Linked DNA regions of Schizosaccharomyces pombe. Changing the gene in region 4 together with the main gene of any one other region gives a genetic interaction. Each region holds a gene or a part of one and is shown on either strand. Other genes may lie near its edges.

What was found.
Region 1: mutations in swd22 (region 4) and ctf1 are lethal when combined (synthetic lethality), as found in Schizosaccharomyces pombe (one study listed by BioGRID).
Region 2: of swd22 (region 4) and cut14, a mutation in one rescues a mutant of the other (synthetic rescue), as found in Schizosaccharomyces pombe (one study listed by BioGRID).
Region 3: mutations in swd22 (region 4) and hif2 together harm fitness more than expected from each alone (negative genetic interaction), as found in Schizosaccharomyces pombe (2 studies listed by BioGRID).

What each region holds. Positions count from the first base shown.
Region 1 is NC_003423.3:4,003,910-4,011,273, reverse strand, and holds ctf1 (cleavage and polyadenylation specificity factor complex subunit Ctf1), read left to right. Parts: upstream 1-3,234; 5' UTR 3,235-3,246; coding exon 3,247-3,277; intron 3,278-3,319; coding exon 3,320-4,269; intron 4,270-4,306; coding exon 4,307-4,417; 3' UTR 4,418-4,667; downstream 4,668-7,364. Other genes in the region: mrpl3 (mitochondrial 54S ribosomal protein mL44), read left to right, coding at 502-1,065, 1,105-1,365, 1,637-1,792; rpp102 (ribosomal protein P1), read left to right, coding at 1,890-1,958, 2,098-2,337, 2,455-2,478; TRAPP complex subunit Trs23, read right to left, coding at 2,487-2,766, 2,972-3,090; DASH complex subunit Dad4, read left to right, coding at 4,940-5,044, 5,104-5,217; SNARE protein Vti1, read right to left, coding at 5,246-5,333, 5,409-5,470, 5,635-5,886, 5,992-6,102, 6,149-6,254, 6,292-6,317; ESCRT II complex subunit Vps36, read right to left, coding at 6,559-7,364. UniProt on the Schizosaccharomyces pombe protein: Component of the cleavage factor I (CF I) involved in pre-mRNA 3'-end processing.
Region 2 is NC_003423.3:2,874,862-2,884,315, reverse strand, and holds cut14 (condensin complex SMC subunit Smc2), read left to right. Parts: upstream 1-2,947; coding exon 2,948-6,466; 3' UTR 6,467-6,629; downstream 6,630-9,454. Other genes in the region: SPOM_SPBP4H10.07 (ubiquitin-protein ligase E3), read right to left, coding at 760-2,511; S-adenosylmethionine decarboxylase proenzyme Spe2, read left to right, coding at 6,947-8,083; calcium-dependent serine/threonine protein phosphatase calcineurin catalytic subunit Ppb1, read right to left, coding at 8,457-9,454. UniProt on the Schizosaccharomyces pombe protein: Central component of the condensin complex, a complex required for conversion of interphase chromatin into mitotic-like condense chromosomes.
Region 3 is NC_003421.2:189,009-197,028, forward strand, and holds hif2 (Set3 complex subunit Hif2), read left to right. Parts: upstream 1-5,355; 5' UTR 5,356-5,543; coding exon 5,544-5,595; intron 5,596-5,685; coding exon 5,686-6,452; intron 6,453-6,490; coding exon 6,491-6,910; intron 6,911-6,962; coding exon 6,963-7,418; 3' UTR 7,419-7,520; downstream 7,521-8,020. Other genes in the region: GET complex subunit Get2, read left to right, coding at 251-775, 836-1,084; kinetochore protein fta7, read left to right, coding at 1,722-1,837, 2,015-2,171, 2,230-2,394, 2,518-2,814; protein pdh1, read right to left, coding at 3,438-4,118; sec6 (exocyst complex subunit Exo3), read right to left, coding at 7,801-8,020.
Region 4 is NC_003424.3:1,684,783-1,692,215, forward strand, and holds swd22 (Set1C-histone-H3K4 methyltransferase complex subunit Swd2), read left to right. Parts: upstream 1-5,483; 5' UTR 5,484-5,579; coding exon 5,580-6,605; 3' UTR 6,606-6,933; downstream 6,934-7,433. Other genes in the region: bst1 (GPI inositol deacylase), read left to right, coding at 408-3,836; SPOM_SPAC824.03C (uncharacterized protein), read right to left, coding at 4,120-4,863; HOPS complex subunit Vps16, read left to right, coding at 7,225-7,255, 7,296-7,330, 7,379-7,433.

The DNA.
Region 1 (7,364 bases), on a different chromosome or scaffold from region 4:
CAATTATTTTGTTAGCATTTGCAAGCCGGCCTTGCTAATGTCACGAGACACTTAACGTTTGTGGGAAGTTGCTGATTCTGTTAGTATTTTTAATAATTTATGAAATGTTTTTTTTTTCGTTCATAACTATTCTAACATGTGGATTAAAATTAAAGATGTTGTTTATAATTATTTTTTTTTTTATATTGTAAATTAGGAAGACAACAACACTAATTTTAATGTTCAGAAGTTTATGGTTTGTATCCATGAGGTTCATGCAACTAAACTAGGATGGATTTACTAAAAAATTTGTATTTGTTTTGTTTATAGTAGATTTTTCTTAATAAACTAATCCCAATGTTAAAGACAATTAGCCAAAATTCGTTTTGAATTTCTGGAACGCGTACCCACTTCTTAAAAGTTATCTTCCGCCTATTTTACCTCAACCTGTTTAATAACCACCTTAACGACTATTGTATGCTGCATACATACAGTTTATAATTAATTGTAACTAAAAATACCATGTCGTTTATAAGCAGATCAACAACGACCTTTCGGAGGAGCATATCTATGAAAGACTATGCGAGGGTTCGGTGGTACAGTAACAGCGGCAAATCGTTGATCGAAAATATTCTTTCATCCAAAATTGCAATCTCAAAAGTTTATACCCTTAAAAAAAGAATTGGACTTCCTGAAAGTTATCCAATGAAAGTTCTTGTTCAAGCACTGATCGATAAGACTGTTGTTCAAAACCCCCAATATTCTAACGAAAAACTCTGGTCAATAGGGAAAGTGTTTGGTGATTTCTATGTTCTTGAATACATTAAGTGCAAATACCCCAGGCTGCCGGAGGAAGCAGTTCATGGCATGCAAAATGGGTGGATGGGCTCAAAGGCTTTGAGTCAGTTAGCAACTATCTGGGGTCTTGAAGTACAGAGAAGAGAAGAAGGTTTACAAGAGTCATTTGGAAAAGTTTTAGCGAAGCGTGCTGACCCTGAAATGCTGAGGAAGCCTGGTGAAATTTACAAAGATGAGGCAGCGCGAAGAGCCATTTTAGCAATTTTGGGCGGAGTTTACCTACATCAAGTAAGAAATTTTTATCAGTGTTTACTAATGTTTTTACAGGGATTTAATGATACTAAAAAATTTATTAATGACCACATCTTATCTAAACAATTAGACCCAAGAACAATGTTACAATTGCAATGGCCTCGGCGTCAACTATCTCGTTTATGTAAAAGGCTTTCATTAAAGGAACCAGTCTATCGCATTATAGCCGAGACGGGAAGAAAAAGCAGAGAACCTGTTTTTGTCATTGGAGCCTACAGTGGGCATCACCTCTTGGGACAAGGTCAAGCCAGCAGTCTAAATTTGGCTGAGCAACAGGTATGTAATTGCGAATAATGACTTCCAAATTATTGAAAGTTCACTTATAAGTTTTCTTCATGCTTATGAGATTTGGCTTGCAGTAAATATTGCCGCGATGTTGTATCGTAACACTCCACGATACACAAGGGTCATGTTCTTAAGTGCTGTAATTTACTTCTTTTTATTATTAAGGAACTGTACTACAACTTTGGTCTTCAGCATCAATTTATTTGGAAATATATTATTATTTGAAACACCATCAATATGAACCCTAATACTAACTTTATAGGCGGCATATAACTCTCTTATTTCGTATTATATTCACTCACCGCCGTTTCGCCAACTTCCAAGTGATTACTTAGAAGTCAACGATGGAAAAATCCCAAAAGCCTCTGAACCATACACCTCTATACCATTAGTATCTCACGGCCAACTTGTAATATAATTTATAGTAGGTTAGGGTTTGGGCAAATAAAACAGTCACACTACTTTACACAGCAATAGGCACAACAAATCAATAAGATATCTTTACCAACACCAAAATGTCTGCCTCCGAACTTGCTACAAGTTACTCTGCTCTCATCTTGGCCGACGAGGGTATTGAGATCACCGTAAGTTAACACATTTATGGAGGTGCACGCGTTGTACACATAGAGTCATCAAAAATGATTACTGAAATCCTACCACATTAAATAATGACGCGTCATCATGTAGATTTTGCCTAAAGGGGATTATTAACAGTATTTCTAGTCAGATAAACTCTTGTCTTTGACTAAGGCTGCCAACGTCGATGTTGAGCCTATCTGGGCAACCATCTTTGCTAAGGCTTTGGAGGGCAAGGACTTGAAGGAACTCCTTTTGAACATTGGCTCTGCTGCTGCCGCTCCTGCTGCTGGTGGCGCCGGTGCTCCTGCCGCTGCTGCTGGTGGTGAAGCCGCTGCTGAAGAACAGAAGGAAGAGGCTAAAGAAGAAGAGGAGTCTGATGAAGATGTAAGTATAAAATAGCGGTAGTAATTACTACAACTAGTGTTAAGTTATTTTTACTCATTATTTATTCCTTACTATATTGTTATTTTATTACGCAATTAGGTACTAACTTTTTTATAGATGGGATTCGGATTGTTTGATTAAAATTTTTGTCAATGAGAATCTATGTATCTTTTTAATTGTTCATCAAATAGCTGGCATTTGATTGGCATCTCTAAAGTGTAGAAAGGATTTTTGAGTACATAGTCGGAGTAAAGTTCATAAAACTTTTGTAATTGTAATCTGGCGTTTGTGGTTTTCTTTTCTGTAAATAACACAAATTTCATCCCTGTATGTGTTTGCAAAATATGCATGTTGAATGTTCCTGCTTCCAATAGTTGAATTCCGCTTGATCCTGGTAGCGGACTGATCTGAGTGGAAATGGCATGTACACTATCTCAGTGGTTAATAACATATCATTGAATTTCACAAGTCTGTTTTCTTCAACATAAACTCAAGCGGCACTAGTAATAAAAAATTCATGAAGCACAAGGATATCAAAAACAAGTAATAAATTTAAATTTGATAACTTCGATGTAATAAAGGGTAGAATTTCATCAATTTGATTAGGCTTCTACGTTATTTCCATTGTACTTACCCATGAATTGTCCCTGCCAAAACCAAATATTCGTTAGGTGTTAAAGCCGTTGGTGATGAGCCAAACTCTCTTTGAAAAATCAATGAACCGGCTCTATTGATGATGATTAATGCATGCATAGGTATATGAGTATTAATGATATTTAAATAGATAAATATGAGTTGAAAATTAGCAGCCTTTCGCTGTGCGTAGGAACAAGCTTTGATTTAAGTAGTAGTAGTAGTAGTAGCAGTACGTTGGTTGAATGGGCAAAACCGAAAGACGCGACTACCAGCATGTCGATGACAGCCGGGAATGTCGTATTTGGTAATAATTCTTTAAATATTCGGTTTTGCTAATCTAATTTAGTTGGTAACATTCCATATGATGTTTCGGAACAGCAAATGACTGAAATCTTTAATCAAGTTGGACCAGTAAAGACTTTCAAACTTGTACTTGATCCGGAAACAGGTAGTGGGAAGGGTTATGGGTTTTGTGAGTTTTTTGATAGTGAGACTACCGCTATGGCTGTACGAAAGTTAAATAATTCCGAATTAGGACCTCGTAAGATTCGTGTCGAGTTTCCATCAAATGATCCCAGAAGGAATCAAAGTTATGAATATACGGAGCGTACTGATAGATACATGGAACAGCAAAATGCTCATGAAAGTTCTTATAATTCCCGTTTTATTCCTCCTGTTTTGCATTCAACATCTTCCCTGCCTGCTTCACAAGGAGGTGGGATGCCAAGTCCTGCTATTTATTCGTCGTCAATGGCTACTAATCTTAATAAAAATATAAATTCTACTTCTGTTCCTGCTTATAATTTTCACAACAGTATGACCTCCGACTTTGATTCTGCCAGTCAACCCCATACAGATGCATACAATGCAAGAACCTTTCAGTATAATAAATCTTCACAAAACAAAGGGGATTACACTTCCGGGACTTCTATATCGAATCCGACTTCTATCCCATTGGCCCCGTCTGTCGTTCAGGTACTATCTACCTTCTCAGCTCAGGAACTTCTCAATATGTTGTCCAAACTTCAGACTGTAGTTCATATAGCACCAGAAGAGGCACGACGACTTCTAATTGCTAATCCTGCTTTACCATACGCCGCCTTTCAAGCTATGTTGCTGATGAACTTAGTTGACGCAAATGTCTTACAACAAGTAGTAGTCGCAGTGAAGAATAAAAACATGCATCAACCAGCTTCAGCAACTTCCTCTCCTCCTTCTGTTCCCCAAAAAATACCTTCTAGTAACCATAAAAGTCAACAAGCGAATGGTTCAGATCAGGGCAATGAAGGGAAGCGGGTACGTTTTTTTTTTTTTTTTTGCACTAACAAAACAGATGGCCCTCATACAACAATTGTTGGCTCTTACCCCAGAGCAAATTAACGCATTACCTCCTGCACAAAGGGATCAAATTCTTAGCATTCGTCGGCAGCATTTTCGACAGTAAGTCTAATTTTAGTAATATCAAGAGATTAAATATTAGCATTTGACCAAGTACTTAAATTTGGTGTGCAAGATAATTTATTTACAACACTATAAACCATATCCTAGCACTGATACCTTTTCATACTACACACTTCTTTATACTATTCGGATGTTTTGCTTCTCATAAATATTTGTTTCTATACGCGTTATGGAGGGCTATTTCTTGGATCCTTTATTCAATATCCTTTTATAAAAATTTACTCAATCAATATTTCATATTAAAATTTATTATTTTTTATATTTTAAACTGCCCTTTTGATCGTAAATATATTATAAAAATGTAGGTGGTAACATCAACTGATACTTCTCAAATAAATATGCAACTCATAAATTCCCAAAAAGTTCAATTTCTTAAAAAAAATTTAGATCACAGGTTTAAAATTGTAGTTCAATTTTTCCAACTACGAAGTGTCAGCACTGGCTCATGCAAGCTTCCAAGTACAGACTACATAATTACAGTTTAGGAAATTGAAAACCATCGAAAATGAATAATCCTATGGAAGAACAGCAAAGCGCATTATTAGGAAGGATCATAAGTAATGTAGAAAAGCTGAATGAAAGTATTACAAGACTCAATCATTCATTACAGGTAAGATTACGACGTCAAATATTTGTGTACATATCAACTTTCCGCTGACATTCTTAAAGCTAATTAATATGTCTAATATGAATGTTGAGCTAGCTAGTCAAATGTGGGCGAATTATGCAAGAAACGTAAAATTCCACTTGGAAGAGACCCATACGCTTAAAGATCCCATCTAAAGTTATATGATGTTCTTTAATATTTGTGCTAACGAAATTTGCTATAAAGCACAAGCAAAATTAATATAACAAGGATTGCAATTATTGCTGTCGTGAAAAATCTGTTCATGGCAAGTCTTTAAAATGAGTTAGTATAAAAGATCATTACATGACGATTCATATCACTATAATAATGTCTATCTGTGTCCTACCTTCTTGCCATTGTCTTCAGAGTTCTTAAACTTCGATCAAGGTGTCCAGACGTATCTCCAAGCTAATTTGGTTAACAAATCTCAAAGAAATTTATACATAGCATAAAAGAAAACTATATTTTTAAACCATGGAGCTAATAAGCTTGGCTAAGATATGCGTATAAATCGCGCATTTTATCTTATCAATCATAGTGATTCATTTATCTATTTTGCAATAATTACTTACCATCTCTAAAGAATGCTCCAATTGATTTCTTTGACCATGAAGATCACGAAGAATGCTAGCACCAATGCCTTCAGTCTCATTCGCAATCCGTTGTGATTCAAGAAGACGCTGTGAAGATTGCTCAAGTCTATTTGTTCCTTGTAACAAACGAGTTCTTTGGTCATAATCTTGATCACTTGCAATATAATCACCGGATGTTTCATCCCTATTTCCAAAAAGGGCTTTCCTATCTGATTTGCCAATTTCTTCCTTCTAAACGAGAAAATTGTTAGTATGAATTTGGTAAATAAAAGTAGATTGTCTCATAGTAATTTCTGTAAAGCTTCAAAAGAAGAATGTTCGATATAGCTAACTTACCAGGTGTCTACGCCACTCCTCCAAAGTTGAACGATAACTACGAATTCTTCCATTTACGAGACCTCTTTCAGAAGTAGGGATACCGGTAATTTCAATTTCCATTTGACCAATCTGCAAGTTAGCCACTTTTTTAAAAACACAAATTATTCCAACATACTACTTCATCAATTTCATTTAAAAGTCTCTGACATGATTGAATAACAGAGTTCTCACCACTTTTACTTAAATCATTAAGTTTTTCTTCGATATCTGCTCGAAGCAAGCTAATTATTAGTAAACTTGTAATGGTATTAGACATACCGATATTCTTGCTCGTACGTCTCCATATTTAACAATTATTAATATTGATATATTAGATTTCTTGAAACTATCGTGTAAACAGTTTCTCAAATGAATTAAAAATAAAATAGGTGTAGGTTAAGATTAAATGGTTACGTTGGGAATCGAATACCCATAACAGGTAGTCATATTAATTAAGGCGTGTGTAGAGAGGAATCTACTAAAGCGAAAGAAAAATACAATGTTAAAAGGAATGAATATTAATTAGATAGTGTACAGTTATTATTCCTATGATTCATCAAACCATTTAGTCAATTCTTCTGATAATTCGTCAAATTCGTTTTTCCAGTATAGTAAGCTAGAACCAGATTCTTCATAAACATCACGTACAATGTAACCGTCCATCTCAGCTTGATAAAGTCTTTCTAACGTTACACCAATGGACCAATGCAACCTCATTGCACATTTCAAAGCCGTAGTGCTAGGATTCATAACTTCCAATATAGCGGACAAAAGTTTTCCTGAATGATTAGAAGTTTTTAATTGAAAAAGGATAAGCCCAGAGTTCATTTTGGACGTTGTTATACCAACCTCCATGGAATCTATTAGTTCACAAGCCTTCACAAATCTGGTCGGAGGAATCAGGTTTGCTTTTCTTGACCGATTATAGATGGCCCAAGCCTGGGTCATGGTAACCGTATCGGTATCAGCTTTTAACCTTGTGCGTAAAACTTCTGAGATACTTTTACATAGTTCAATATCATACAATCGAGAATTAGCCGAAACAGGAACATTATCTAAATGATTTCCTCGTAACACTCCTAACTGATTCGATTTGTTTAAAAGCTGCTGTACCTTGTCAGACTGTTGAGTGCCGGTCAGCCCATCCATCTTTTCAGCAAATTGGTCAGCCAGAGACATAGTATCTTTCGCTAAAGAAAAAAAAGCATCTAAATCTTGAAACGCATGTACTAAGGTACGTCCATTTTTGGCTAATTGCATCTCATGAGATTGCTCAAGATCATGAATACCACCCATTCGCAAAGACTTTTCAAGGATGGCCTTCCTCAGAACTTTAGTATCATATTTATTCG
Region 2 (9,454 bases), on a different chromosome or scaffold from region 4:
ATTTTATTGAGTCACCCACCTGATATATATCTTCCTAGCAAACTATGATAAGTTGCGTTACATTCCGTTCTCCCCTATTGGGTATTAGAAAATATACTTCCCAAGCTGTGCTTCGAATTTAAATGGATTTTAAACAGTTAACATGATTTTACATACAAACTTCATACTTATTGCTTTAATAGTAGATGATGCGAAGTCAACAACAGTTTTTTGTTATTGAATAAATTGACAAGCCGTATATCAAGTAGACCATTGTTACTTAGCTTTATTAAGAAATAAACAAACGCATTGAAAACGTAAAAAGTTAGGCAACATTTTTCACTTGAAGCAAAGTTAGGCATAAAATCAGATATAAAATTATACAAAGTGAAAAACTGATCAATATAGGATATAAATAATCCAAGGAATATTAAATAGGCCTCATTGTAGAAACCATTTTCCGAGACTGGGTGTTGAAAATAGCAAGATGATCAGTCCATCAATGGAGTCTACCTTACCATAGAAAATTCATCATATAAACAAACAAAAATAATGGAAAACAGAAAAGGAAACAAGCCCGTTTTGGCTTTATAAGCTATGCTTTAAGGATCGTCAGGTCGAGAGGAAGGGTTGTGACATGCCCTTTTAAATTCTCATAGCTAAAAGGAAACAAGGAACATTAATAAAATATATGGGTAAATACATTCAAAATCGTTTTGGTGGAAGGAATCCGAAAAGTTTTTAAAGCAACAAAATTGTCATGATGATTGATCATGTTGATTATGGCTTGGGAGAGGACGGAGTAGATGCTGAAGCAACACCTTTAGTACGACACAGGGGGCATGAATTTTGGCTTGAAGTTAACCACTGATCTATGCATTCACGATGAAAAAAATGATTGCATTGTTTAAGACGGCGACACTCATCGTTCAACTCAAAATTTGATAGACAAACAAGGCATCTTTCATCGGTTCCCGAAAAAGGGAATACACCACCTGCCTTTTCAAGGTCTTTTTGTGAAGCCACTGGCGGCTTTTCAATACCGATAATAGAATTCAATAAAAGCATGTCCTCGTACGTTGGTGAATCAGTAAACAGTGAAGGTGCTCTCAAAACAGGATGATTTTGAGGTACAAAAGCTTCTCGAACGTATATGGCCCAGCTTCTGGGCAATTGGTGGTCCGTTTGCGAATTATTATTTCTAGTTTCAGGTGCTTGTTGAGTGGAGGATCCATTATTATCGGAAATCCCATTTACGTCTGTAGCAGTAGAAGCTTGCTCGTCTTCGGAAATATGTTCTGCCTCATTAACATTTTCATTTGGCCCCGTATTATCACTAACGGACGTTGTCTGATTTTGCGAGTTAACAAGTGAAGATATCAAATCAGAAGGATGCATTAAAGTTGGGGAATCGGCACTTGGTTGATCATCTTCATCACTTCCTGAATTTCTTAGACTTCGGATGCCAACTATTATAATCGGGATTACTTCTTGACCTTCATGATTTCGGTGTAAATTGTCAAATCTAAAAGTTCGAAAAAGGTTTATAGGACCAGATTCTTCTTCAAGATCCACAGCATTTGCAATTAGTTCTGCAGTCCTAGGATTAGTTTCTGCGTTCATCGCCTGCACCAGATTACCAGCGTGCAAAAGCGATAAAAATTCATCGAAAGCAACATTTCCAGATTCCACATTTCCAGAAATTGAAGAAGGAAATTCTAAATTGTTTGATTGATGTGCACTCGAAGAATTCATCAGTACACTAACCCAACCAGACGCTACTGAAAACACAAATCGAGAAAGCATGACTAGTTGACTTTCTTCTGGAGAAACAGATGCTTGTTGAGTATTTTCACTATTATTAATATAGTTCATTACCGCACGAGTATAGTCCTCCATATTTGAGTCCGCTAGAGAAGTGACAGATCTTACCGGCAATCTTCCAATTGCAGTTCCCGGAGATTCTAAATTATTTACAGAGCCATGATCCTGCATTTCCTGTCCACCGCTCGAACTGACGTTTTCATCTTCATGATTCGATGCCAACGTAGACTGATTGTTTTGGGTATTTAAATTGCGTAAAGCAGCAATACTAGAACGAAATCTTCTAGCAGCACGTTCAAATTCCTGTTGGTGATTTTCAAGGATTAACCTGTCTGTTTGAGGTATTGCAGATGTTTGTGATTCGCCTTCTATACGAGAGCGAGGAGTAGCTGGTGTAGCTGGTGGACTTAACGACCTTAGAGAAGGAGAATTCCTATTCAAAAGCGAACCACGGTAGCGAGAACGAAAAGCCGATCTTTCAGTAGTTCTATCACGATTACCATTTTCCGAATTGCCTTCATCGTTACGATGCCGCTTTGCTCTTCGAAGACCTAAGACTCGCTGCAAAGAGGGAAAACGATTCCACAGCCTACTAAAGCCAGAATTTTGTCGATCTGAATCATTAATGTTTTCACTTTCTGATGAAACCGCCTGCATACTTGCGTCCCTTTGAATTTGCCGACTGGGAATGGATTCACCTTGCCCCATTTGTGTAGTGAGTGCAGTACTGATTATCAAATATAGTTAAATAACAGAAAAGATAAAATATATGTTTTAAATTAAAAAGAATTTAAACAAGTTACTTGAAAGTATTAAAATACATAAACTAATAAATCTAAAATGTTAATAGCGGTAAGCTTTTTGCATACTAAGCATCATTACGTAGTTTAACGTTGCGGTAAATGTTATTAGAGTAGTCGCACTCTTTTATATCTACTATGAAGTCTTATTTCACCTTTAATGCTTTAAACGACAAACAGCTTTAATCATTTTTACACTAAACAGCAAACAGTTCGGACTGAAATGTACTGCTGAAGATTTATCTCCCTCTAGGAAATACTTTACAAGTCAATCAGTTTTTTGAATTCTAGTCTTAAATACTTGGGCTTCAGTAAACAAACAGAACGAGAAATTTACTGAAGAAATGAAAATAGAGGAACTCATCATTGATGGTTTCAAATCATATGCTGTGCGAACTGTCATTAGCAATTGGGATGACCAATTTAATGCTATAACGGGCCTCAATGGGTCTGGAAAAAGTAATATATTAGATGCAATATGCTTTGTCTTGGGAATTACGAATATGTCGACTGTCCGTGCCCAGAATTTACAGGACTTAATTTACAAACGCGGACAGGCAGGAATAACCAGAGCTAGCGTTACCATTGTGTTTAATAATCGGGATCCTGCGTCTTCACCAATTGGTTTCGAGAATCACCCGCAAGTAAGCGTTACAAGACAAATTATCATGGGCGGTACAAGCAAATATTTGATTAATGGACATAGAGCTCTGCAACAGAATGTTCAAAATTTGTTCCAGTCTGTTCAGTTAAATATTAATAATCCTAATTTTTTAATTATGCAAGGTCGAATCACCAAGGTTCTTAATATGAAGGCTACTGAAATTTTATCAATGATTGAAGAAGCCTCTGGTACTCGAATGTTTGAAGAAAGGAAAGAAAAGGCTTTTCGAACAATGCAACGAAAAGAAGCAAAGGTTGAGGAGATTAATACACTGTTAAGAGAGGAAATCGAACCCCGACTTACCAAACTTCGTACAGAAAAAAAAACTTTTCTAGAATATCAACATATTTATAATGACTTGGAACGATTAAGCCATCTTTGTACTGCTTACGACTATTATAAGTTGTCACTTAAAGTGGAGGAATTAACGGTTCAAGCATCCCAGAAGCACAGCCATATCGCCGAGATGGAATCTTCATTACAAACATCGAAACAGGAGGTTTTAATACTAAAGGAAAAGATTAAAAAAATTGAAGATGAGCGAATGAGACAAATGAGTGTTTCTTCGGATCGTACCTTGGACTCTCAGTTACAAACTGTTAATGAAAACATCACCAGAATAAGCACGTCGATAGAATTAAAGAATACAGCTTTAGAGGAAGAGCATGGGGACCTTCAACAAATTCGTGGAAAAGCTAAGGAATTAGAAACTTTGTTGCGCGGAAAAAGGAAACGACTAGATGAAGTGCTTAGTGTATACGAAAAAAGGAAAGATGAACATCAAAGTATTTCAAAGGATTTCAAGTCTCAAGAAGAGCTAATTTCATCACTTACAACTGGTCTTTCCACTACAGAAGGTCATGAAACTGGCTATTCTAGAAAACTACACGAAGCTCGAGATACGTTGAATGACTTTAAAGCTGAAAAAGAAACCAATCGATTAAAGCTTGAAGGACTCAATAAACAAATATCTTTAACTAAACCTAAGAAGGCTGAGGCTACAAAACGATGTGATCAACTCAATCGCGAAATCGATATATTACAAAACCATGTTGAGAAGCTTAAAATGTCTTTAAAAAATACAAATTCCGACATTACAGGTGAAGATGTACTCCAGCAAAAGTTGAAGCAACTTGCTAAAGATCGCGGCAATTTGTTAAATGAACTTGATGCTTTAAAAAGCAAACTTGCTTATATGGAATTTACTTATACCGACCCTACTCCTAATTTTGATCGCTCAAAGGTGAAAGGATTGGTGGCTCAATTGCTAACCTTGAATGAAGAGAATTATGACAAGCAAACTGCATTAGAAATTACAGCTGGTGGCCGCCTTTATAATCTCATTGTTGAAACCGAGAAAATTGGTGCACAATTGCTTCAAAAAGGAAACCTGAAGAGGAGAGTTACTATTATTCCCCTCAACAAAATTACCAGCTTCGTAGCTTCAGCAGAGAGAGTAGGCGCAGCCAAAAAAATTTCTAATAATAAAGCCCAACTTGCTTTGGAATTAATCGGTTATGACGATGAGCTTTTGCCTGCAATGCAGTATGTTTTTGGCTCCACATTAGTCTGTGATACCCCTGAATCGGCAAAGAAAGTTACCTTTCATCCTTCAGTTAAATTAAAAAGTGTCACGCTTGATGGTGATGTTTATGACCCATCTGGTACCCTTACTGGTGGGTCTGTGAATAAATCTGCCGGTCCTTTACTACAGATACAAAAGCTGAACAGTCTGCAGCTAAAATTGCAAGTAGTTACTTCAGAATATGAAAAGTTGGAGACTCAACTTAAAGACTTAAAGACTCAAAATGCCAATTTTCATCGACTTGAGCAAGAAATTCAACTAAAGCAACATGAATTAACACTTTTGATAGAGCAAAGAGAGACCGACTCATCTTTTCGTCTTTTATCTGATTATCAGCAGTACAAAGACGACGTTAAAGATCTCAAGCAAAGGCTTCCTGAATTAGACAGACTTATATTGCAAAGTGACCAAGCTATAAAAAAAATTGAACGAGACATGCAAGAATGGAAACATAACAAGGGATCAAAAATGGCTGAATTGGAAAAGGAGTTTAATCAATACAAGCACAAGTTAGACGAGTTTACTCCTATATTGGAAAAGTCCGAGAATGACTATAATGGCGTTAAACTCGAATGTGAACAATTAGAAGGCGAATTGCAAAACCATCAGCAATCTCTCGTACAAGGTGAATCGACCACGAGTTTAATAAAGACGGAAATTGCAGAACTTGAGCTGTCACTTGTTAATGAGGAGCATAATCGAAAGAAACTCACCGAACTAATAGAAATTGAAAGCGCCAAGTTTTCTGGACTTAACAAAGAGATAGATTCACTCAGTACCTCAATGAAAACATTCGAATCTGAAATAAACAATGGGGAGCTAACAATTCAAAAGCTGAACCACGAGTTTGACCGATTAGAGCGAGAAAAATCAGTTGCTATAACTGCTATTAATCATTTGGAAAAGGAAAATGATTGGATAGATGGACAGAAACAGCACTTTGGTAAGCAAGGAACCATTTTCGATTTTCACTCTCAAAACATGCGTCAGTGTAGAGAGCAGTTACATAATTTGAAACCGCGATTTGCTAGTATGCGTAAAGCTATTAATCCCAAGGTTATGGACATGATTGACGGTGTAGAAAAGAAAGAAGCCAAATTGCGCTCTATGATAAAGACCATTCATCGCGATAAGAAAAAGATCCAAGATACTGTCAAAAGTATTGATCGGTTTAAAAGGAGTGCCTTAGAAAAAACCTGGAGAGAAGTCAATTCTTCTTTCGGTGAAATTTTTGACGAACTACTTCCTGGTAATAGTGCAGAACTACAGCCACCAGAGAATAAAGAATTCACTGATGGATTGGAAATTCATGTAAAAATTGGGTCAATTTGGAAAGATAGTCTGGCAGAACTTAGTGGTGGACAAAGGTCTCTAGTTGCATTGGCTCTTATTATGTCTCTACTTAAATATAAGCCTGCTCCAATGTACATTTTAGATGAAATTGACGCGGCGCTCGATTTAAGTCATACCCAAAACATTGGAAGACTTATTAAAACAAAGTTTAAAGGTTCTCAGTTTATTATTGTTAGCCTTAAAGAAGGAATGTTTACCAATGCTAATCGACTATTTCATGTACGATTTATGGACGGATCATCTGTGGTACAAGCTCGCTAATTTGAACGTAAACACTTGAATTATACGCGCATGTATAGTCCTACTATTTACTATCACCGATGTCTTAATTTATTTAAAGAATATTTCTACCAATCATTAAAAACAAGACTTTTGGTTCTTTAAAGTTGTTTGTGCCGCTAATGAAACTTAGACTACGGTATGTATCATATGTATAAAATATCGTAAACTCATCATTTCCAAATTTATTATTAGCGTCGATGTCATTTGTAGCATATTCAAAAATATTTAGGGTAGGGTTTTAAAATTTTGATCGATACAGGATGTTTCTGTGGTTATGTATTTAGCCTCAACATCATATAAAATTGGTGCGACAGCCGCAATTAAGTTATTATTTGTATGCTTTTTTGCTAATAAATATCCTAAAAGTGTAACTGGAGCAACTAGCTAGTACGTGTTTTGGGAATTACACTCACAGCGCACATATAGCATTGGAAGTTCTTTGTATGACTATATTCTAAAATGTCTCCTACCCTTGTTGTTGATCAAGAGAATTCGGAAGAATTTAACACCTCCTCATTTGAAGGTCCTGAAAAATTGCTGGAACTATGGTTTTCGGCTCCTATAAAAACCAATTTAAGTGCGGGTGAAAAGGCTAACTTGGGACTAAAAGCTGTTTCTCGCAATGATTGGGATGATATGCTAGCCCAAGCCCAATGTAAAGTCCTCAGCGTTGTTAATAGTGAAGAAATAGATGCATATTTACTTTCTGAATCCTCTATGTTTGTGTTTGCCCATAAAATTATCCTTAAAACATGCGGAACCACTACACTACTGGCTAGTTTGCCTCGCCTATTAGAAATTGCTTCTAGTGTTGGCTTTGATCGTCCTCTTCGTATTTTTTACTCAAGAAAAAACTTTTTATATCCCGAACGCCAGCTTGCACCACATACGAGTTGGGAGGAAGAAGTTCGTTACTTACAACTGTTTTTTCCAAGTGGATGCTCTTATGTAGTGGGTCCGACAAACAAGAATCACTGGCATCTGTTTTCTGATCTGGCTGATGATTATTCTTTACTGGAAGATTCCCTTGATCCTGAAGATGAGACCCTAGAGGTACTCATGACTGATATGTCTCCCGAACGCTCGCTTCAGTTTTACGCTCCATCCTTGGATGTTGTTCGGAGCGCTAGAGGTGATGACTATGTTCGAGAAAAAAACAATCTCTCGGGGGGTCACATCCTTGGCAGTTATGTAGCTGATGAATCGGGTGTTAGAGACTTATGTAGTACCTCTGATAAAAAAGCAGTGCTTGATGCTTTTCAATTTGAGCCAATTGGGTTCTCGTCGAATATGATTTACAAGGACCGCTATGCCACAATCCATGTTACGCCTCAAGAACATTGTTCTTATGCTTCATTTGAAACAAATGTTTCGCAATTCCAATTCGGAAGATCCATATCTGAAACAATCGAAAAAACTGTTAAAACTTTTGGTGCAAACAAATTTTGTCTTACCCTTTTCCAGGCTAAAGGTGCGTCTCAAGAGAAGCATTTCTCGGCCAAACTTAAATCTTTTAGCTCTTATAAGCGTGAAGAATTTATAGTGTATGACTTTCCTGGATATGATCTTATATTTGCCAGCTTTACTGCAGTATAAGTTCGGAGAACAGTCAGCTAGATATTTTAAATTATCTGTTGCTATATTTATTATCATTCTTTTTTACGGTGGAGCGTGCCATGCGAATACCCCTTTTTACAATCTTTCATTATGCAAAAAGTAGTCGTCTTTTGTTTGCTTGTTTTATAAAAGGTTTCATAGTTATGAATACCAAAAAGTTTATTATGAATATCTAAATGCAATGCTTATGTATCTAGTCATCGGTTATCTTGTATTATGCTAAAGTAAACTCATTTGCTTTCTTTATTTTGAGTGTTTAGATATTTGTTGTAAGTATGCTTAAAACCTCGGATCAGGTTTATGCTCATTGAAAAATTCCAACTAAAAAACGAATATGCGCAGGTTTTGGTATCTACAAAGAGCTTTTCTTATCTGCAAAGCGTTCTACCAAATGATCGATAGAGGTATCATCTTCAGACGAATTCATTACTTCTTCGAAAGCCTTTAAATCCGTAGAACGTCGACGGCTATTAGATGGCGGTAAACGTTCATTTTGGATATCCAGCTTACGAGCATCATCGAAGGAATTGATAGCATTTTTGATACCCTCAGCTCCCAACATTAAAGTACCCGCAGGTAATCTTTGCGTACCTGACACGTTTTTCAGTTCCGAAACACTTTCCCGTTCTTCTCTAAGCACACTGAATACTCGAGAGATACGGCCAATAGCCATAATCTTGTTTTTAATAATTTGCCTACGAGCTTCAATATCAATTTCTTGGTCGGCTTTATTTTCATTCTCAGATGGAGCAGGCTGTTTATGCTGAGTCGGAGCCGATTCTTTCAAATCCGTTTCATAAAGCTCCTCCTTAGAACATATATTGAGCATTGAAATCAACATTTCAGAAACTTTTTCGCCCACAAATGGAAGACTCCAAGTAAAAACATCCATAAAGTTAGGAAGCCAGTAAGGATGAGGGGAACAATTAAATTGTCTTATATTCATTACATTATTTTCGTATTTCAAAACAGCAGCTTTATTATTGTAAACATCCAAATAGTTGGGTGCTGAAAATATGGTCATCAAAGATGGAAACCCGGTTGTTTTAGTTTTGCGATACATTCGATAGCCCACATCTTGAGCTTCATGAGCACGAATAACGGAGAGGAGATTATTGTTTTCTAAGAAGGTGCAAACAGCTTGGTAACTATAAAAGTAAGAACAGCCACGAACATTATTATGAATAAAATGCTTGTTTGATTTTTCCGATCCAAAATCTTCAAGGGGATCAGACCAGAGTAAATCACACATCAACCCATGAGTTGGAGGCTCACAAAAACGATTGATCATTCGTATATCATTCAAAGTATGTAGTTCGGGTGATAATCCACCATGTACACATAAAAATT
Region 3 (8,020 bases), on a different chromosome or scaffold from region 4:
CCTTTTTATAATATAAGGCTAACATGTATGATTCTTATCAAACATAACAGCTGTAGGAATTCAGTATTCTTCTAACACTTATGCATCACTATTTTCTCTCACCCCAAACCCCTCGTATATTGGAAAGTTGTTCAAGTGAGCATTATTGATTTTTTCCCAATATAATATTGATAAAAATATATATCTGTAAAAAAGTTTGGTGTTAATTATTTATTTTATTCTGTTTTCTGCTGATTCAAAGACTTCGAACATGTCGACTGCCAGTGAACAAGCTCGACTTAGACGTGAACGTCGACTGAATAAAATCAAACAAGGAGGTGCATCTAGAATCAATCAAATTTTGGGACAGAATTCAGATGACAGTCAATCCGATGTTCGAGCTACAGCTTCCGAGGAAGCTGTACATTCTGAAACTGCAACACCAGTAACGCCAATGTCTTCAGGATTCATGGAAAAGAGAGATGATACCTTCAATGCTGATCAAGTGGAATATCTTCCTTCCCAAGATTACCATAATTTGGAAAGTTCGCCTTTTAAACTTCAGTGTGATTCTCCATATAATGTACCACCTGAAAACATGTTTAATCAAAACCCTGATTTTGCAAATTTTTTTCAAGCTATGTTACAATCCGCAAAGGAGGGATCTGATACAAATTTTCAAGGTGAAAACGAACAAATTCCTCAAGCTACAGCTCCTTTAAAAAACTTAGTTGAGAAATATGCTCATCTTTTGGCAATTTCTATAGTAGTGATTGTTTGTTATTTTAAACATTTGGTAAGTCCTCATCTTCCTTTTTTGAAATTGTTTTTTTGCATACTAATATATTTATTTCAGCCATTACTTCCGTGGACATTTACTGTCGAAGCTTGCTTGTTCTCTATTCAATTTGTTTTGGACCGTAATAATGGACCTTCTTATTCTCTTCTAGCATCTCTGGCCTCTCAGCTTCCCCCTCCCTATGGAGCAATGATCCGTCATACAACAAGTTATGTTCCGTATTTCACACAATTGATTACAGATGCGTGTATGACAATATTTGCGTTAGGTTTATGTTGCTATTTTTATCCGTCGTTGGTGTATTAATAGTTGTTAATTTTCAGCATTTACTATTTATGAATCTTGGTTTTGCTTCGCAAATTGGTGATCGATTAATTAGCATTCAATTTTTGTTTAGATGAAATAAACTAACTGATTAAGCGAGAAAGACTTTTCAAACCCTTAGGAATTCAATTTTATATTATCTTTTCAACATCTAAACGATTTATATTCTAAAACATACTGCACTTCATTTGAACTGCTTTGCAACACATGCCATATTTACGATTGTCGGTACGTTTTATTTATTTTCTCTTTTAATTCAATGGTAGCAATAGTATATGATTTAAAAAGCTCTGTTTATTGTAATTGTAGTATTAATTAAAAACAGACTACTTAAAGTAATTTCTGGGATAGCTGTGAAAACATTATAACTATGATTTTTAAAATCTTTTATCAACTTATTATTGAAATAAAATAAGTAATTGAGAATTGGCTTGGTTGACTGTATATATGTAAAACAACTTCGTCCGAAGCGCTACAACAGCATGCAAACGTTGAAACGGCGAATTCTTGTTATAGAGAAATTTTTCATATAAAACCATACGTACATATTTTGCTATTTAAGTTCCAGATTGCTTAAAAGAAAATTGAAGTGGTAGCACCATTTTTATAAATATATGCAATGGAAATGAAAAGGCGCGTTCGCGCGGTGCGTCGAGACCAAATTCAAAAAAGATGGCGTCCATTAGAGGATAAGCAGCGCCAAGAAATAATAATTATTTTTAGGACGTGTTCAAGGTAAGTAATTGAGAATCATGTTATTGCTAAAAGTGCTTGTGCTTTTTAGCGCTTACTTGTGTACTGAAAGGGAAATCAAAGTTTGCTGTTGATGTTTACCTGGAAAAGTCTTTTAAGTACTTTTCCAAATTTTTTTAGTCATTATGTGTACGTATGCTAACTGTGCTATCGTAACAGATTGGTTTTGAATACAATAAAATCAGAAACAAGAAAATCTTTGGCCGAGGAATGGTTCATGAATATACTTTTAAAAATCGAAGCTCCTCTGAGAAATTTGCCTGTACCAAGGAAAAGAAAAGAGTCAATACTGTTCTCTCAATTACTTTCTTCGAATGTAAGTTATTAAGTCTTGATACGCATACATACGAAAGAGATATGACTAACATTTTTAGATGCAATTGGAACAGCAATTATACAGTGATTTGGACCATATTAACGTACTTCAACAGGAATTGAAGGTTGAAACTGCTCGTTTGGAGAATGAACAGAAATCTTACGAAGAAATGAAACAAAACATGGCCATAAATAATTCACGGCTTGCCGATTTAAAATCTAAAGTAAGTTTAAAACACGAACAGGCGAATGTTTTATTCAAGACTTCATCTTAACATATGACACAAAATGAGTTTTCCATTGTTTCAGTTATGTAAATAATCAAGCAATCACTAATATTTTCTTAGCTTCACCCTTATTTGAAGAAAGGCTTAAAGATATCCCATGATAATTTTTCAGACTCCAACGATTTCTCGTTCCAAAAGAAACTGAATACAGAAGATTCTAATACTTCTAAAACCTCTACATTGGATATGTATAAAGAAAAATTAAAGCCATTTACGAAAACTATGCAAATCCATGCAAATAAAACTGTTCAATTAAGTCAAACTATACAAAAAGCTACTCTTCTTTTACAACGACTAAACAATACAAAAAATATAGGCCTAAATAAGTCATCCAAACTTAAGATAAAGAATATCTAGACATAGAAAAGCTAGAGCTTAAGACTTGATGACTTCTACATGTTAACATATAGTCCCTGGCCCCGAACCATGACCAACCCAAAAACTGGATTAAATCGTCCTTTAATATAAGCACTCAGACTAATTGTCCCGTCTTCATTGAATTCTCACAAATAGTGTGACGACAAGCCAACTTAATGGAGTGCTTGGTAGATTCCAGCAGCTACGGACTTAATTCAATTAAAGGACTTTTTGCTAGAGTTTAGGGTAGGGTAAGCATAAAATTATAGTAGCATTATAGTATCGATTTTGAAAGTAATTTCTTTTGCTTTATTTAATCATTAAAAGATGCCGTAAAGGATTTTGTGCCTTGCGGAATTGTCAAGAATTGTAGTATTACTCGTAAACGGTCGTGATTGTTATTTAACAGTAGTAACTGCCAAAAAAGACTTAGTTTTTTATTTTTAATAAAAGCCTTCAATATTATTTAATAAATAGACGCAAAATCATAAGCAAACTGATTTTAAATTCATTTGCGCATGCAGTCAATAATTATAAAAGCAAAGCAATACACGGGTCTTAGATAGCTAGTCAAAACAATAGCAATGCGTAAAAAAGTATTGATTTTGATTAAAACGGAAAGTTCATATAGGAAGCTGAGTATGACTTTCTAAATGGAAAAGTTCTTGAACCACAGGATGAACAAACAACACATATAGCTCAGAGATGCAAGTGCCTGAGACAGCTAAGCAGAAATAAGTCCATGGAAAACTTTGAAAAACATAAAATAAGTGAATTGAAAGGAACAAATAAATAAGGTATTTTGACAATGGACAGAGAAATTTGTTTGAAGATTCTTCCTTTTTACACGAATACAATTGGTACCAAGCAGTTAAGATCCCTGCTTGAATTGCGGTCGTACTTTGGATAATTGCGACCAACAAGTAATGTGAATCTGTAATTTTGTATGCAATAAAGCAAGGTATCAAGACAGCAATGTTTGGAATCACTGTTAAAAACTGACAGAAAAGCAAGTACTCCTTATGACCCCATGAACGTTCAATTTCAACGCCATACACCGAGAGAATGAGAATACTTGAAAGTAGCGTAAAAACATTAGCATCAACAAAACTTGTGGTAATTATTGTCCATGGAAACAAGAACAAAGCATTTGGAACCAAATGAAAACATAAAAGAAAGAAAGTTACAATAGAACTCCTACCAAACACTTTGATGTAGATGCTGATTCCAAATGATATTGCAGAAAACAATACCTCTAGGATAAGAAGCCTTTTCGTAACCGAAAACTTGGAGAAATGATTCATTGATAAATTTTAGGTAAAAAAAAATAGTAAAGTTCTCGTTACCGTAAAAATCATCGACGTCAACAATTTTGGTCTCAAAGTAAACAATACCAGGATACCTCTAAGTAAATGGTGCAATCCGAAATAAAATTTCTAGCTGTTTGCATCTAAAAAATAGAAACTCTTACGAAAACTGAATTGGCCAAAGATCGCTTCACTGGAATATAAGCATAATAAGAAATTGCCTATATGGATTAATACAGTTAGTAAATTAGAAAATGAGAAGTTGAGATAAGACACTGCACCTGGTTTTTTAATGCCTTCTCAATAATCTCATTTACAGGGACATTCGGTAGCGGGTAAGATGATAGGTAGGTCATGGCTCGACCAGATTATAAACATCCAGAAAATTACATAACTTTGTAGCTTGCCGATTCTAATAGAAGATAGAAAAGAAGTTTAAACTCGCTGATATATTTGTTTGAGCACAACCTGGTTTATCAAGTAACTATGATCGGTTCGGTTGAGGAGATAAACGCATTCAAAGTTAGAGTAAATAGTAAAGGGAGAAATTAATTTTTATTATATTTGGCAGTTTTTTGAGGGAAACCCTGATGAGAAATTGCTGCATATCGCTCTGCTGGGTTAAAACAAAGTGTTGATTCTCTTAATCGAATAATGTCTTAAATTATTAGTCATAATTCAAATCATCTTTTCCTTTCTTAGAATATAGTGAATGCATTGTTTAGAGCGGTCTTATATCAGAAAGAAGCATTCGCTTGACCTTGAAACATTTGTAATAGAAAATCACATTTCCTTAGCATGATAAGCGGACCCTGAATGTTCAAATTATTCAAATAAAATAGCAGTATATTTTAGAAATAAAAAAACCAAATAAGGCTCCTACCACTCTTGTATGGAATGTTGAGTACAGAAATAGCATACGAATTCATGAAAGTCAGAAAATACAATCTGGCTGCCAACTCCTTAACACAAACTTCTAAAAGTGAATTTTGATTGAAATTAAAAGTCGAAGAGAACTATTAGCATTGCCGTTTTAAGTTGTTAAGAGACCGACTTCAAAGAGGGAAAACTTTACTGAAATTCCTCGGATACAAAAAGTGGGCACTCGATTATTTTTATTTTGATCAAGCGCTGTTTAAATAGTAACCTACGTGCAAATAATAGAGCAGGAAGATTTAATCCACAGTTTCAGCCATCGCACGTATCTAGTTAAATTTCGGTAACTAATACTTCCACAACTACTAAAAACCGTCTCAATGGGAATTCGTCGACAATCCTTCAAGTTAAATCCGTATTGACAGGAAAAGAAAGAAAATAGAAGACTGTTGAGGTTTTAAGTGAAACTCGTTGACAGACCTTAAGATTTGACTTTAATTTACGTGGGTAGCTTGAACCATTATAGATTTAGAAATTGTGGAGGAAATGGATACGAATCAAGTTAATTATATAATCTGGAGATATTTGAAAGAATGCGGTATGTTAAATAGTTGGTTTTTGTGAATCATAGTCGCTTCATCTCTCCTTTTTTTCGGTTTCGTTAACATTATCGTGTTTTTTGTTGTAGGTTATTCGCATACTAAATTTGCATTTGAAAGGGAAACAGGCATCCAAAATTTAGACAAACAATGGGGAAGTACTTGCCAGGTTGGCGCTTTAGTCGAAATTCTGCAGAAGGGTTTACAGTACGTGGAGCTCGAAAAGCACTACGTTGATAATCACTCCTCAAACGAAGAAGCTAGCAAAACATCTATAGATGGAGAAAGTCTTGTAAATGAAAATCCTTGTAAACTCCCTTTCTATCTCACCGTACCTCATATATGCGAAACGACACTGACGAAAGCTGACTCTACCAATGGGTTTTGCGAACACAATAATTCTAATGATCACCAACTTAAAATTTTACAAGATAAGGGGTCTGGGTCGCCTTCATCTCCGGTCATGCCATTTAAGGATAAAATTGAGAAAAGGGATATTGACATTACTATGGCCGATGAATCAAACGTAGAGAAGGATCCGGCTCGACCTATAGCCGTGTACAACAGTTCACCTGTCACGGAAATAACAGAAATAAAACAGGTTACTTTTACTGGCGGCGAAGACATAAAGTCGGATTTTTTCAAAGTAATTCCTACCAAACACCCCGTTACCTGTGCAGATTGGCGTCCACTATTACAAGAAAATTACCATGTTTACGAATTTTCTATTGGTATGACAAACGCTACTCTGGCTTCAGTTAGCATTTGTGAAGAGCAAAATGATTTCAAGGCAAAAACAGATTATTGTCTGCAATCTTCTTTCGATAACCAAGATATCACTGGCGTTGCTTGGAATGTAAGGTTCAAATTTTTTTTTGAAATACTAACTTTTAGAATTCTGGTTCTTTTTTAGCCTACGCATTCTTCAGCGGTGTGATTGAAATTTACGATAGTCATGGTTCTCAAATCCTTAGCTTTCATAACAACAAAGGCCCTGTTTTATCTTTGAAATGGAGCGGTACTGATACATATCTAGCTGCTGGTTCGGCGGATGGAACTATTACACTCTTTGATCAACTGAAGCAAACACAATATTCAATTGACACACTTGCATCTTCCGTTTTAGACATTGAATGGATTAGCTTTGATGAATTTGTAACTTCGGATGTGGAAGGCTCCTTGCGAGTATACAAGGTCGATGGCAAAGCTCCGGTTTCTACAGTTTCTCATGCGCATGATAATTCTATTGTTGCTTTACGATACAATCTACGTATCTCTCTTCTATTAACTGCTTCTAGTGATACCACTGTTAAGGTAAATTTCTTTTGTCATTCTAATAATTACTGTTTTCTAACGTTTTGTATAGCTTTGGTCTAGAGGTGATGCTGGTGCTTTTGAATGTTTACATGTTTTTTCTTTTAGCTCACCGGTTAATTGTATTGACTGGAATTTGCGGGAAGGGACACCAATTCTAGCGGTTGCTTCAAACAGTATCGTTTCTATGTATAATGCTATTTCCCTTCAGCAACTTGCTGTATTCATGAGGCATACAGCTCCTGTTAGTGCTTTGAGCTTCAGTCATAACGGTCGCTATCTTGCTACTGGTGATACTTCTGGGGGAGTATGTATATGGTCATGCAAAACAGCCAAACTATTTAAGGAACTGGGTTCCGATAACTCAGAGTTAATTGCTGTTACTAATGTACTTCCAGAGGAGCAAGTTAATTTCTTACGGTGGAGTTTTGATGATAAAGATTTACTTATCGGTAAACAAAAGAAGGAGATTATTTGTTGTTGTGATTTTTTACATGATTCTCTGTAATTGAACCTAGTTGATCTTGTATATATCCATTTATTACAGTAGGTTCGTTGGGTCATCATCTATAGTCAAATATATACATATATATAATCATATACGAATTTTTATTTGAAGTTACTAAACTGGTAGCTAATATTTGTCAAAACATAATATGAACAGGAAACAATATGGACCGCGAAATTGTCAAGGTCCAATATCTATTTATCACAAATACCTTAATTATAGCGACGCTTTCGATTGCCATCTTGAAAGTTAGTAACAGGTATAATAGATAGCGTGAACGCAAATTAGTGGCTTCGTCTAACATAAATCAAAAGGAACATTACTATAGGTAAAGATAAACCGTACGTAGATCATTAAAATTCAGCAACGACTACTTTGGATCTCATAAAATTGAACTTCCAGAAAGAGACGTGACTTGGGAAAATACTGTCGGTTGTTGCGAAGTGTCTATTTGGAGTGAATCATTTTCATGGCGTACAATATCAATCATCTTCTTTATTATTGATTTTTCCAGGTCGGTGCGGTTTTGAAGGACTGCTTCAACCAAGGACAAAGGTGCATCCCAGTATGCTTCTTTCAGCAAATGAAAGTATTCGGAGACA
Region 4 (7,433 bases):
AGGATCTACTTTTCATTTCTAATAATTGATTTCTTTGACACAGTCCTCGATTTTGGAGCTGGATTCTTCATTTGAGGCAACAAATTGATTAAAGGACTTAGATATAACAGTGTTTGGGAAATACTGTGAAATTCCTACTTATGTCCTAAATTACGAGGATTTTTATTATATGTTTTTTTTTTCTGTTGTTGTAACCTGTCTAATTTTTTGCAAACTGGAAATTTCTTTTTCAGTTGATACCTAATTTGCACTTCATCTAAACAACTGAGTCTTAAATATTAACAGGTTTTACTTGCCTTTTGAATTATTATTTCCCTTTTATTTGTCTTTAACTTTCATTAGCGGCCCTGGATTTGTATCAAGGCTCAACCCGTATATCGTCTTCTTCGTCTCGGTTTTTTAAAACTATGAAAGACGATAAGGGAAGGTCAGATACTGTGAATGGCTACTATATCTCCAATTCAAAGCTTTCAAGCGGCTTTTATAAACGCAATAATGCCAACACAGCCTCAAACGATGAGAAACCTAATTTAGAGCAAAATGATATTCCTAGCGTTACTAGCTCTGGTTCTTCAACACCTAGCTCTATTTCCATAGAAAAGGAAATTAAAATCTCAAAGGGGAATGTTATAGTTAAGGCTATACGAAGCTGGTCTCTTTATGTTGCAATCATCGCCATTCTTTTATTATTAGTTATTCTACATTCTTTTCAAGGTCGTCCACAGGACAATGGTTGCGGAAAGTCCTATGTTTGGCCTTCTTATGTTCGTTTTGTTGATTTTGATGAACGTTACACTCGTTTCGCAAATAAATATTCGCTCTACCTTTATAGAGAAAAAAGCGTAGAGGAAAGTGACGAACCATCAGGTATTCCTATCCTTTTCATTCCTGGTAATGCGGGTAGCTATAAACAAGTAAGAGCTTTTGCTGCTCAAGCTGCCCATGTTTATGCTAATGCTTACGCTGAAGACGCTGATGGTACGCTAAATGCTGGTAAACTCGTCCCTGATTTTTTTGTGGTGGATTTTAATGAGGATTTTTCAGCATTTCATGGCCAAACGCTGTTGGACCAAGCTGAATATGTCAATGATGCTATTCCATATATACTCTCTCTTTACCGTCAAAATCGAAAAATCTCTTCGGAGTATGACAATGAAGCTTTTCCTCCCCCAACGTCCGTTATATTACTTGGTCATTCTATGGGAGGGATTGTTGCTCAAGCTACTTTTACGATGAAAAACTACGTTGATGGTTCTGTTAATACCCTAATTACTTTAGCTACGCCACATGCAATGGCCCCTTTGCCTTTTGATAGGCATCTAGTAGAATTTTATGAATCAATTAAAAACTTTTGGTCCCAGTCCTTTCTGTTGAGTCCAGAAGAAAATTCACTAGATGATGTTTTGCTTGTTTCCATAGCTGGGGGAGGTTTAGATACTCATGTTGTACCGGAGTATTCGTCCATCTCTACCTTTGTGCCCCCCTCGAACGGTCTAATGGTTTTTACTTCTGGTATCCCTTCCGTTTGGGCAGAAATTGATCATCAAGCTATGGCTTGGTGCGAGAATTTCCGTCGGGTACTAATTCGGGGAATTTTTGCAATTATGGATGCAAGGACATCAAAGTGCACCGTTTCTCTTAATTTGAGGAAGGAGTTGCTTAGTCGTGCCTACATCCAGGGTTCTTCTTTTCAAAACGACATTACGCAAATTTCCAAACCAATTGCTCAATACAAAGCTTTGGACCTTGATCTTACTTACGTTTATAGCGAGATGCCAGGGCAACTGTTATTTTTGAACCAACTAGGTGTTTCTTATATTCGGCATCATATCTTTCCTATTCCGAAGCCTACCTCAAGCATTGACCGATTCGAATTGCTTACTGATCAGCCTATTGATCTTTCGTCATCCAATATTAAAGTATTGGCTTGCCGCCTTGATCCAAAAATTGATAATACTATATCTGCTTTATTAGAGAATGGTAACAATAAAGTAATTAACGCTAATTGCCATTTACTTAGGGAATTGGTTACTTTGCTTCCTGCTTCAACTGCATACACCAGCAGTCCATATGGTGGTGACAGTTTTTATAACTACGTATTGCCAAAGGAAAAAATGGATGATTATCATTTTATTTTAGTGTCTGATGATTCGAAAGCACCCGCTAGTGGGTTTGTTGTTGGGGGATTTTCAAATGTTTCGTTGGATCCTAAAACGATTAAAGGTTCTCAAATTGAACTCTTCAAAAGCGGAAGAAAATTTCAATTCGACACCAAAGGATCGATTTCGAAACGCTTCAGGTTCCCTGGTATTCAGAGCTCAATTATGGCTTACACCATTTCAGTAACGTACGAACTTTATCCTGGTGCCGTACCTCAAAAAGAATTTACCCCTATGTTAAAGCAAAGTATTGAATCTCCATTTGAAACAAAATATCATGTGAATATGTCAAATACAGAACTTTCTGTTCACGGGATATCCCCATTTATGGAATTTTTTGGTAAGGAATCAGAAAAATCTTTAACTCTCGAATTCTTTTTGAATCCTGCTATCTATAAGTCGGTTTATGTTTCAATACAGCCAAGTTATTACAGGAGCGCTGGGCGTCTGCTCATGCGTTACAGAACATTACTTGCTTCCTTTCCTGTGGTTGTAATTAGTTTGGCAGCTTACAATCAGTTTAGGTATTTTCATTACGGTTCTGCATACTTGAGTATGTCGGCTGCACTTGAAGTCATGATTCGCAAAGGACTTATCAAACTCCTTTTTTTAGTTTCGATCTTGTCAATTGCATTTTCATATTTAATTAGCAGAGTAGAGTTGATTGTTGCCGATGGTGCTGACCCTGTCGCCTCTTGGAAAATATTCGCAATGATGGTTCCAAAATCTTTCTGGAAACAAAATCATTTACTTTTTGGACTACAGACTGCTCAATTTTGGTTCCTCGCCCCGCTGTTAACTTTAATGTTTGTTGGCTTAGTTATAACAGCCAGTGTTATTATACTCTGTGTCATGCATTTATTAGCATTCATATATGGTATCTACTTGCGTTATAAAGGTTTGACTTTTACTGGTGTATGCCAAGCTGTGAAGTTCTCCTTTCAATGTCTGAGAACAAGAAATACTAGAAAATTGGATCATGGAGAATTTAAAAAACTTTCGAGTTTTCTATCTCAGAGAAATATGTATTATGCAAACCCTTCTCTCTGTTACGTATATGGAAAGAAGCATATGCAAGCTCGGATAATTGGCATCATGTTATTGTTGCTCATGGCAATGACGGTGGTACCCTTTCAACTTGTTTATGGTGTTGCTTTATGTACCCAGACAGTAACTACTGCTAAAGCTTTACACTTGGCCCGATTTTGCACCAAGTCAAGCCATTACCGAAAAAAATTGTGGGATTTCTACAATTTCTCTTGCACGATAACAATACTGATGTTACTCTTAGCTCCTTTGGACTTTCCTGTTCTCATTGTTTGGGCTAGAAATCTTTCCATGCATTGGTCTATTCCTTTCCCCACACATCATAATTTCTTCTCAATTATCCCTTTTATATTACTCACCGAAATTTTACGAACAGGAAAGATGCTACCTCGTTTGAACGACGTGGAGTACTACATAAATAACGTTTTTTTGTTTCTTCTGTCTTTCTATTCATTGATATATGGAGCTGAAAAACCATACCTCATTCACAATGTAGTTGGGTTATACTTTTTTTGGCTTTTATTTTTGTATGCCAAGAATGGTTTTTTTGTACAAAACATTTCGAAATGGCCGATCATTCCTAGAATGAAGTATTTTATTAAGCACAAATTTTTGCGATCTATTTCTTAATGGAAACTTGTAACAATATTATTTAATTCTTTTCTCTTTTTTCTTTATTCTCTCTTTTATATTACATTATTTCCTTTATTTTCACACTGTTGAACACTTATCATACTTTAATTTTCAAGATAGAACTTCGTTTTTATTTGGTAGACATTCGTTCATTGAATTTTATTTCTATTTATTACCTTGAATAATATCTCTTTACAAAGTTTATTGGTTTATCAAAGACTGAATAACTCACATTAGCATGATGGAAATAGAAAAAGATGAATTAATATATGAGCTGTCATCAACAGTTAAGAGATATTTTTTGATTTTTGTAGACCAACACTAAAGGTACTGGCCTTTCTTCCGTACGTGATAATGGCTGTAATAGTTCAAATAAGGAAACATAATTCACTTGGGAAAATTCCTGAGATAAAGGCACAATATTAGCGGTTGGCGAAGGAAGCTTGTAAATCTGGCGCACACTCAGGTCGGGAAAAATAGCCAAAGCTTGGTGATTCCAAACAAATTGAAACATGTAGCTATGAAATCCGTCAACATATATGCGGCATAAGGCAAGAGGTCTGTTGCTGATGGACAAAGTCTTCAGTGAGGATGATGTGAAAGAACCCAAACAAGCCAAAATCCCAAGAGTATCTGTTGGATAAGATGACAAAGAGCCTTCAAGCTCTCTAACAAATCTGGGCCCTATTGATCCCTTGTTAGATTTGCAGGATACGACAACTTTGGTGGGCTCAAACAACACATTTTTAATCGAAAATTGGCCCACCAAATCCACCCCACCATCGCCCTTTCCACCACATCTTTCAAGCTGAAAACTGTGTTGCTTTAGCACATACTGTACCAAGTATTCAAACAAGGTTCCTTGGGCAACAGTATTCGACGTTGAAGGCTTCTGAACACTCAAATGTTCTAAATAGGAAACAAGATTGTTGTGTGTGACAGACAAGTTTCTAAGGCCTAAAAGGCCTCTGTTCATGAATGAAAAATTTCTACACCGATTGAACCCTGACTTTAAAATCCACATCACGCTAGACAGAATGCGAAAGACTTAAACAGTATAAAGTTCAGGATAAGAAATGAATTATGCAAATATTCATTCCCTTCTAATTCGAATAACAACGACTGAGGATCGAAAGTAGTTATTTAAATAATTTTTGCTGAATTTTAGAAGTTCGTGAATCACGCCGTTCCTTAGTAATTTTAATTAATCTGTTAACGGTTTGCAAAAGCAAATTCGCGATATCTAAGAAAAATTTATTCAGAAAATAACAAAAATACAGAGCTTTGAGGATTACAAGCAAGCGACAAAATAATTGAAACTGGTTCTGCTGTATTTCATGGAATGATCCAGCTTCCTTGGTAGCTTTGTTTATAAGTTTTCCTTAATAAAAATTTACTCTTAAATTATATTTGATAATATGAAAGTTTTGATAACATCACGCCTCCATTTCCACAATATCAAGCCTTCAGACTCTTTTATTAATCAAGTGTATTTTTGGTGGAGAAATTAATAGCCTGTTAATTTTCAACTTCACTATTCTTTTTAAAAGTTTTCGAATTGTAATTTAAAACTGTATACTAAAACGTGCTACAGTTCGTTAAACACGTTGTCTGGCACTACTCTAATTTTGTGGAATCACAAGTAAACAAATGCAAGCAAGGGCTTAGCAAAGTAGAAAGGCCCTTAAGGGGATATAAAAGGAAATTCAAAGAGAATTTATATATTTTATTTAATTCTCAATGGATATCGGCATACTTTCGAGTTTAAAGCCTGCACAGTCGTTTCGTGATAACTCATTAGGAAGCTTCATTAATAGCATTGATTACAGTGATTCTGGAGAGTATGTTGCAACGACATGTTCTGCCGATGACACAGTCCAAATATATGATGCTTTAGATCCGAAGCAAGTCCATACAATAACTTGTTTCGAAACCGGCATAGAAGTTGCTCGTTTTACACACCACGATCATAATCTACTTTTGTCTACCACAAAGGGGAATAAGGATATTCAATATGTTTCAATTTATGACAACAAAAGAATATCGTACTTCAGTGGGCACACGGACATCGTTTCATCCATTGAGGTTTCTCCTATTGAAGACCAATTCGTTAGTACGGCAAACGACAAAACCTTGAAGCTTTGGAAAATGAATCAATCCTCGAGATGCCTTGGAAATTTAGATCTCCCATCCCTTGGAATTCCCGCTTATGATCCCACAGGTCTTGTTTTTGCGGTTGCATGTCATTCACTGTCACGTATCTTTCTTTACGACGTGCGGAATTATGGTTCTGATCCGTTTTCAACATTCACAATAGATGACTCTCGTTACTTATCAAGGTTTTCGTTTCCCCCCATGATGCCTGAGTGGAAACATATGGAGTTTTCCAACGATGGAAAATGTATACTTCTCTCAACTAGAGCTAATGTTCACTATATACTTGATGCATTCAGCGGGGATGTTTTATCTAGATTAGAGGACTTCCAAGAATTGCCGTTCTCCAACAATTTTCACGGCGGCTCAACCACTTTTGTACCTCAAGGTAATTTTGTCATAGGATCTGCTGACGACCGTACCCTGAATGTATGGAATTTAAGACATACCTTTCACCATAAAGGAAAAACAAGACCTCCTGAACATCGTATTGTTTCTCAGTCTATAATTAATCCAGGTCTTGTTAAGTATAATCCTAGGTATGATCAACTTTTGACTGCAGGGTCCCAACTCGTTTTTTGGCTTCCCGAAAAATATGCCTTAACATCATGATTATACTGCTAAAGCATACCGTAATCTTCTCCCAGGTTTTAATTATTATATAATCTTATTTATGTCTTCAACAACTACCTATACGTAAACCTGAGGAACCTGTCATTTCAACAAATGAACTAAAAATTTTTAAAATATAAAATCCTCATAAATCTTTAATTGATTTTTCATATTTCCCGATCTTAATTTTCTTCATGCAATGTTAGAATTTTTACTAATACCCTTTTTATTAAAGGATTCGCTAGAATTCATTGATATATGAATATCAAGAAATCAAACTTTGCGATAAGCAAAATAATGTTAATACTATTCTATCTTTTGACATATACCATGTTGACATTGTATAACGCATACGTATGCATGTAAATGACTCCTAGATATATCTGTTTTCTTATTCCTTCAATCCACTGTAATTAAAAAAAAAGATTAAATTAAAGAAATCCCAGGTAAACGGGAAAGCGAATTGTTTAGGTGCTTGACATAGTGAGATGACTCTTACCAGTTGCTTTAAGTGTGATCGGGGATACCACTGTTCGTCACAATACTCACGTGTAATATACATTGAACTACATTTATAGAAGTTGCTTCACCTTTTTAGCATTTTCTAAATAAAATAGAAATGGAGCCTTCAATAAAGTATCCCATCTATGGTATGCCGTTCAGTTGCATAGTTATACTAATTTACGAAAGAATGGGAACTTTTACAAGACACTTATTACCAAAAGGTACGTCAGAATGGAATTTGTAACAGAGTTAAAAACTAATGTAACTAGTCAGCTATTGGAAAGGCGGAATGGGAATATATAGATCCTGTTGACTTTATGTTTG